Linked DNA regions of Daphnia pulex. The protein of the gene in region 1 interacts with the protein of each later gene in a pairwise test. Links are inferred from orthologs where the notes say so. Each region holds a gene or a part of one and is shown on either strand. Other genes may lie near its edges. The genes, in order: casein kinase II subunit beta and RING-box protein 2-like.

Evidence for each region.
Region 2: the proteins of casein kinase II subunit beta (region 1) and RING-box protein 2-like interact in a two-hybrid assay, tested with the Homo sapiens proteins (2 studies listed by BioGRID). The link is inferred for Daphnia pulex from reciprocal best matches to the Homo sapiens genes CSNK2B and RNF7.

What each region holds. Positions count from the first base shown.
Region 1 is NC_060025.1:6,072,972-6,077,122, forward strand, and holds casein kinase II subunit beta, read right to left. Parts: upstream 2,714-4,151; 5' UTR 2,574-2,713; intron 2,543-2,573; exon of another isoform or gene 2,473-2,542; intron 2,205-2,472; 5' UTR 2,201-2,204; coding exon 2,129-2,200; intron 1,900-2,128; coding exon 1,797-1,899; intron 1,724-1,796; coding exon 1,532-1,723; intron 1,412-1,531; coding exon 1,113-1,411; 3' UTR 552-1,112; downstream 1-551. Other genes in the region: FK506-binding protein 15-like, read left to right, coding at 3,074-3,129, 3,210-3,371, 3,433-3,583, 3,670-3,768, 3,841-3,992, 4,061-4,142. UniProt on the Homo sapiens protein: Regulatory subunit of casein kinase II/CK2.
Region 2 is NC_060024.1:9,935,322-9,939,062, forward strand, and holds the end of RING-box protein 2-like, read right to left. Parts: coding exon of another isoform or gene 3,133-3,741; exon of another isoform or gene 3,083-3,132; intron 2,680-3,082; exon of another isoform or gene 2,523-2,679; intron 872-2,522; coding exon 759-871; intron 692-758; coding exon 626-691; 3' UTR 535-625; downstream 1-534. Other genes in the region: uncharacterized protein LOC124200065, read left to right, coding at 1-152, 229-371; facilitated trehalose transporter Tret1-2 homolog, read left to right, coding at 3,133-3,741. UniProt on the Homo sapiens protein: Catalytic component of multiple cullin-5-RING E3 ubiquitin-protein ligase complexes (ECS complexes), which mediate the ubiquitination and subsequent proteasomal degradation of target proteins.

The DNA.
Region 1 (4,151 bases):
CACACAACATGTCTGTTTTGGTTTTGACATTCCAGAATCAAAACAACCTAATGAAAGTTCAAATTACATAATTAATATAAGCCACAAGTAATACTTACCATACATGAAAATGTTACCAGTTATTCGGGGAACAAGATCCACGAGAAATATATTTGATTTAAGACACCAATAAGTAGAAAATGAATTAAAAGTAAAGGGACCCCGATTCCTTATGGGAATTTACACGGGGAAAAATTAATTAGAACAAAGATGGCCGATTGCGGCGTTGCCGGATTGTAAAATCCCGACTTTCCGCATTGTGAAAAAGGTCTATTCATCTGACAAATCTCATCAAACAAAAAAGTAAAATAAACTTAATAGAATTCCAAGTAACTTAACACCGCGTAGTGAATTTCCTATACACTGGAGCTAACAAGCTTATTAGGTTTTTGGGCCTTTTTTTTCTATAACATTGTACGGTTATAATAACATCCTACGTCTTTTTCCTGACGTAGATTTGAAGCATAAGTGTTAAGATAACTAAATATCTGACAAATAAAGTACATAACATATCAAGAAAAAAATTCATTATCTTTTGTTTCCATCAAATTTGTTGTACAGCTCGGGTTAATCATGTAACCAATCAAAAGGGTATTGAGTTGCTATGGCGACGTTCAAAAGTTATGCAGTAGATTCGTAGTACGGAACATAAAGAAATAGATGGGTTTCGAGAAACGAATGGGATTCCGGGTTGAGACACTCTTGACGCACCATGACATAATATCTCTTCAGCTTGTGTTGCGACCTTTTCACCATAAAAACGAACAGCACAAATGAAGGAATAGGCTGATACGAGAAACACCAATCAATTAAGCGCTTAACTAATGGAACCAAATGTAGGCACCAACTTTAATTCAATTTTCATTCAGTTTTTTATTAAGTTCCAGAAAATAGGGGATGGGGGTCGGCAAACGTTACGTTTTTGTTAGAGTTGGGGCTTTTGTGACAATCTGACAAGAGGGGGAGGAGGGGGTAAAAAAAATAAGCCAAAAATCGCAGTACATAATTTCTGAACGTCGCCTATGCTAAATGGTAACATTGAATGAATAAGTGGCGAATAAGCAGATTCAGTTTCATTTTCTCCCGTTGTTGTAGCTTACAGTACGCATCGGAACTTTAAAATTAGAAGCGCCCTGTTGTTGGATCTGATAGGCCAACGGATGAATTTTAAAGCCATAAAGTCGTGGGACAAATTGATTGGTTGGTTTTTTCGGTCTATATTCAGGGTGAACCATGAAGAGCATGTGGGGGAATCCTGTCCCAAAGTACGCTCCATCAGTGTGGTGATGACGGGAGGATTTAGGGGTATAGACGTCCATACATTTTGGACAATAAAGCTTCACCATAGCTTCCCCTGGAACATCTGATAGGCCTGAGAAGGAGAACCCAAAAATATTTCAAGATAAAAGATAAATTTCTAGTGAAAGTTAAAAATATAATAAATAGTAAAATATATAGTAATAACAAATAAAATCATATTTTTTTATATTACCAATTGGCAACATCAGTTGATTCTCACAGTATACTCTTGGGCAATGACCAAAATCTCCAGCATGATACTTTTCAAGCATTTGTAGAATTCCACGATTTGTTAAAATGTATCTAGCATGAATCAACCCATAAAGCATTTCAGCAGCTTGTTCTATCAAATCAGACTGATTGGGGTTGTCTTCAACATCATCATCTTAAATGAAAAATACTGGATAAATGATTTACACTAAGAATATGAATGAAAGAATTCAATTGGTTATTTATACCTGGCTCTAGGTCCAAAATCATATCAAGTGCCTGCCGATAGTGTGGTACTTGTTCATTCAGTCCAGTTAAATTAAACTTGTCTTGGATATAATCTTCATCAACCTGTTGAGCAATTACAAAATATGCTTAGATTAATTGTTTAAATTTGAAATTACAATTATTCCTTTCCAAGTCTTAATGAATCAAATGCACTTGTTATAGCAAAATCCAAAGAAAATTCTGTGATTTTCATCAGTCAAATTCTACCACTTTCTGATCAACTGATTGAAATATTAAGTGCTCTAATATGTTTTGACCTATCACATCAAATTTAATTTTAATTTTATCTTACCTCACAGAAGAATTCATTTCCACGTAGGCCACAAAACCAGGAGATCCACGAAACTTCTTCGGAGCTGCTCATTTTTCTATGGGTGAGAAAATTTGTGTCAAAACGTGATGTAATTCGTTTAACAAAGCCGTTGATGTAGTTCACAAATCCAAAAATCAATGATTTCTACTCATCAGTTTACTGATTGCAATGCGCGCCCTCTCTCCCTGTCTAGCCTTCAGCGTGTGCAAACTGTGCACACCTCTCCCTTCAGAACACGTAATGTAAACTCTCCCCAAGTCACCATTCTCATTCTTATGTAGACTCTCACTAAAAAAATTGCTGAATCGACGAAATTACCATACCCGTGTACACTATGACCCCTCCTGTTTCGTTGAATATTTTCCAAGTCAAAATTGAATACAATTAATCGTAAACATAACAGTTGAAATTCAATAAATCTTACCTCTTCAAGCCTCTGTTCGCCACCCTAACAAATATGTGTGCGAAGTCGATCTCGTTTTCTCCTAGGGCCTTATTTCTACACAGGCTTTTTTCTGTAAGGTGACATCTATTAGTAACAAGAAGAAGTGTGTGTGCAGTACAAGTAATTCCTTATGAATTCATGATTATGTGGTGAAAGCGCGAAGTTTTCTTATAAAAAACATGATTAAAGAGAACCCATTCCTTAGAATCACACAATTTGAAGGAAGAAAATATAATATAGAAAATATAAAGAAATGAAGTAGGCCTAGTAGGTAGTACGTTGCTTTTCAATGTCTCTTCTTATTTATTTCCAGTAAATATTAGCCGCTAGATGGCTTTTTTTGTTTATTTATTCGGAAATTCCATCGTAATCTTGTCTGTAATCTTTTCAACGCCATCTATTGATTTTCATTCAGTAAACGATAATAGAATATATATATCCGCCGTGAAGCGTTATCAACTCTACTCAATGTTGTGAAAATGTCATTCGGTTTTTCAAATGAAGAAGATGATGACTTTGGCTCAATTTCAATTAAGTAATATCATTCTTAAGTCATTTCTATTAGGAATAGATGTTCATGATATAAAAAATTATAACACTAAATCGCTATTTTAGTTCTAATTTAGCATCAATATTTCACGATTCGGGGATCCACCAATCCAATTCAAAGTCATTAATCTATACGGCACCTAAACAACCTCCAAGTAGTACACTTCCAACCACAAAGGGCATGTCCCAAGCAGTTATTGCTGCAGCTGCTGTCACATGTTATAAACTGTAAGGAGGAAAGCCAAATCAAAGAATTAATTTATTTTATTCTCCTGTTTATCATTTCCAGAAATAATGAAAAATATGAACCACTTCCTGGAAAAATAGGATTAGCCTTATTGGAAGAAAATGAAAGTAATAAAACTTATCAGATAATCCTTTACCAAAATAAGCAGAAACCACTAGCAAGTGTAAGGGTCACCTCAGAATTTACCATAATTGTAAGTACAATTTTTTTTGTGGATGGGGGGGATTATTTACACTACTATTTAAACTTAAATAATGTTTCTCCACTGTTTTGTTGCAGAGTCAACCAAACAACTTCTGTACATTTTATGATGACCACATGCAAAACTGGGCAATTCTGTTTGATTCCAAAGAAGTTGCTCAGAAATTTCTTGGAGAGGTATTAAATAATTGTTAAGTGTAAGCAATATGTGATTCACTATAATTTAAATGTATTTGACATTACTTGTAGATTGATAAAATGAAAAATGTTTTGGCTGGACACATGAATAAGCCATCATCTGCAGAAGCGTCTTCCATTGATAGAATAGATGGCCCATTAACAAACCCTATTGCAAATGAAACACTCAGTCAAGATAGTAACAAAACCAAACTTATATCTCGGTAATGCAAGTAAATGTTAAATAATTCCAAGTATTATGCAAACATATTTGATTGTTTCTAAACTACAGAATTGCTAAACTTGGTCAGCCCATTTTACCCCTCAGTGGAGCAATCGTGGCAGATGATAATAGTGATTCCGAACAAGTATTAGTATTTATC
Region 2 (3,741 bases), on another chromosome or scaffold:
AAACGGAGATCTCTGCAAGACCGCATTGAAAGCCGGTGAAACCGTCGAGTTTAAATTCATGCAGCCGTGTGGTAAAATGGTACCGGATCAGTGTTCAAACATCTACATTTCGGCTGCTCCCACCAACATTAACGACGATTTGCCCTGCGCAGGTACAAATTAAAATTTTTAACTTAAAAATGCTTTAGGATTTCTATGATTACGTTATTTGTTTTACCTTTTATTCAGATAAAGACTGCCATACGCCGGATCAAGTCAAATTCACGTTCAGCCACTCCGGCATGCGTTGCAACAGCGCTGTGGCAGGCGCAGTTCTGTCTCATTTGACTCTAGCTTTAGCTGCATTGATGACTTGGTTCCTCAATCGTTAACAGCGCAGAAGCCTAAAAATAAGCATTAAAATAACAGAATAGATTGTTTTAACAACCCATGATGATCAATCAATGAAAATAACACAAAATAACATCCCAAGTAGTCCGAAAAATCTTTCATTAAAAAAAAAAAGGAAAAATACACGTGTGAAAAAAAGACAAATTGACGACACTGCGTGTATTAATGAGTAGCAATTATGAAAAAAAAGATTGGAATTGTGTTTGTGACTTTATAATCACGAATATCAAGATCTTCATTTGCCAATTCGTTGGACGGACCACTCTTGTTGACAGAGAGGACAGCGGTTATTTTGCTTGACCTGAATTAAAGGGCGAGAAATCACGTTTAACTCATTTTGCACAATACATTATAAACAATTATGTTACCCATAATTTCATGCAGCAGTTGTGAAATGAATGGTTGCATTCGCCCCAGATGACTACACACTCCTCCTGTTCCTTGTCGTTTCTATTTTCGGCCTGGCAACGTAGGCATGCATCTGAATTGAGTACAAATTAAAGAAATTATTTTTATCTTTTCCTCGCTTTGTTGTAAATGGGGTTGGAAAAGTTTTTAAAAAACTAACAGCTTTGAGAATTTAAAATAGAAAAGGTTATCGGAGCTATCGATGTCGTCACTTTGTTGGGAGAGGTCGTGAGCGGCTCGTTCACTGCACTCTTTCGACCTTCGACTATCCTTTTTCCAACGAAGGACTAGGACAACATTTTAGACTTCAATTTCCTGTTATCCAAACAATTCCATAATAGGGAAAAAAGAAATTCAATGTTGACTTTCTCTTTTAAAATTTAAACTTGTAACATTTTACTCGATTTTTCTGTTAATTTATCATCATCTTCTAGCGTTACTCGATCCGGAAAACACTTAAACATTGGACTTTGAACCAAAGTTCACGCTGCTTTGTATGGTTACTACTCAATATCATTTCATCACCACTATGTCTTTCATATGAAGCTCGAAAAATATTCTCTTATACCGTTAGGTTACAACGACAACTCGCTCGAAGGCGATTGTTCCAAAAAGATGTAGAAAACCAAGAAAAAAAGAATTTTTGTCTTCCTCTTCATTCCTGTTCTTCTTTAGGTTAATCGGGTTATGGAATAGGGGGTTTGATCTTGGGTTATTTGGGCGTCATCTTGGCTGGTACTCTGGGGGGAGGGATACCGTATTTCCAACTAAAAAGGGAGAAATCCACCACGTCCTTCACCGTACCAGGCAAAGAACTGGTACGGAGCACATCTCCGTGGAAAGACGATAAACATCCCTCCATGTTTTTATGCCTATGACCTGTATATTTAAGAAAGCCAAAAAGGGGAAAAGGGGCAACAAGAAATATACCAAGGGATAAACACCACCCTATGTAAAATCTTATCTAAAGATGTGGAGGGTATCAACCCAAGAGCCAGACAGAGTATACTCAAAAGCAATTGAAAGTCAGTTTGTCAAGTTCAACGTCGTGTTATCGATTATTTACGGCAGGTGGAGCCAGTTTTCTCTTTTTATAACGTTGAAGTTATTGGCAAATTCAGAGTGGGTTTTTTTATTTTGTTACTAATGAAATCTTGTTGGCTCATTTAGGCCTACAGGGGGTTCCGATATACTTCGACGCTGGAAAGCCCACAATCTCCCAAAAGACCTATTTATGGTTTTTAACTTTCTTACCTGTATAAGAACCTATCCACCCCCTGATATATTAAGGGGAGAAAATCCTGCTCAAACTGCTTTCGACCGGTTCAAACTAGGCCGAGAACGTTATTAACCTTTCAATTTCTCCCTCTCAAAAGACCATCACTTAAACTTAAAAATTCACTTTCACTATGTTAAAGTCAATATTGACCTACTCATGGAGTGTGAAAAATTATTTTTGAGTCTGATTTTAAATTGCGATTTCGACCAGAATAGAAATCAGGAGTAGTGGGGGTCTGGGGGATAGCGATCCTTCTGTGGAAAACTATGACGTAATCCTAATTTAATTTTAAAACCAAAATAAATCGATTAAAAAAAAAAGGCCGAAGATCCCAGTAGGAATAAAAACCGGAAAAAAGAGGATTCGTCAAAAACATTTTGGGGGTTGGCGATGTGACGTGTGGTTAGGCTGAGCGTACTTCTCGCGATAGAAGATGAAAAAGAAGGAGGGATGAAACAAACTTGAAGAAACCGAGCGGCGCAGGGTAGGCCGTGCTGAGAAGTATAAAAAGACATGCGGACCCCACTAGCTCATCACACACATCCACTCGAATCCTGCGTCAACACAGCTCTTCAAGGCGTCCTCTATTTCTCCAGGCATTTGTAAGTTTAATTTTAGTTAGTGTTTTGAAACTCTGTTTTTTTTTTTTGTTATTTGTAACTTTGTGTTTACTCGAGCGGCGGAATCCAAGTCAAATAACACTCCGATTTATGTAAAATGTTTGTGAAGACGTTCGATTGTCTTAAAACAACCAAACCATCTGTGTTAAGATTTTTAAATCTCGAATCCATTCTATTGTCTAACAAGTTGCAAGATTGAAATTCCAAGCGCTTTAACAATTAGTTACTAATTCGTTTAAAAGGAGGCGTGATTGTTTAAAATGACTTTTTAATTAATCTCATATTATTAAATGTGTTTTAACTGGAAAAACCCGATTCTCTTGCGATTTTGGAGAAACCCAGTTTCTAATCGCTGACCCTATTTCTTTACTTTTCGACCTTGCAGAGAGTCCAAGAGCGTACGTGGATTAGGAGGTGAAAGAAAACTCCCCAAAGATGTCTACGGTACTAGGTCAGCAACCTTCAATTTGGTGCGATATCGAAGCTGTTGCCGAAGATAGACAAAACTGCCAAATGGAATCAGACAGCAGTAAAATTCACGCCATCATGCTGGCCGCCGAAAAGCGTGAAACTAGAAACAGAGACAGTGGGTGCGACTTGAGTTCCACGGGCACCGATTCACCCTCAAGTTACCGGTGGATTAAAGATGACAATTCCACTGGATCCTATTCCTGTTCCAGCTGCGAAGCCACTGTCGATCAAACTTCCGTAGTTTACCAACAGCTGGCTGAAACGTTGGCTCAAGCTCGACTCAACAATTCCGATTCAAAAGACCCGTTAGCTATACCTTCCACTTCAATGGTCGTCAGCGAATCGTTGATTGCTCTGAATCCAATCATGCCAGCTGACTCGAAAGAAGAAGACAATATGGCAATGGAAAATCCCGACGAAAATAAAGACAACGATAGGCTGTCCAATGTCTCACAGATCATTACGTTCCCAGATCCTTCATTTAAAATGGAACCCGCAAGTCGCAAAAGTCGTGGAAGGCTTTTCCCTCAAGTGTTGGCTTCGCTGGCCCTGGCCATAGCAGCTTTGATCGAG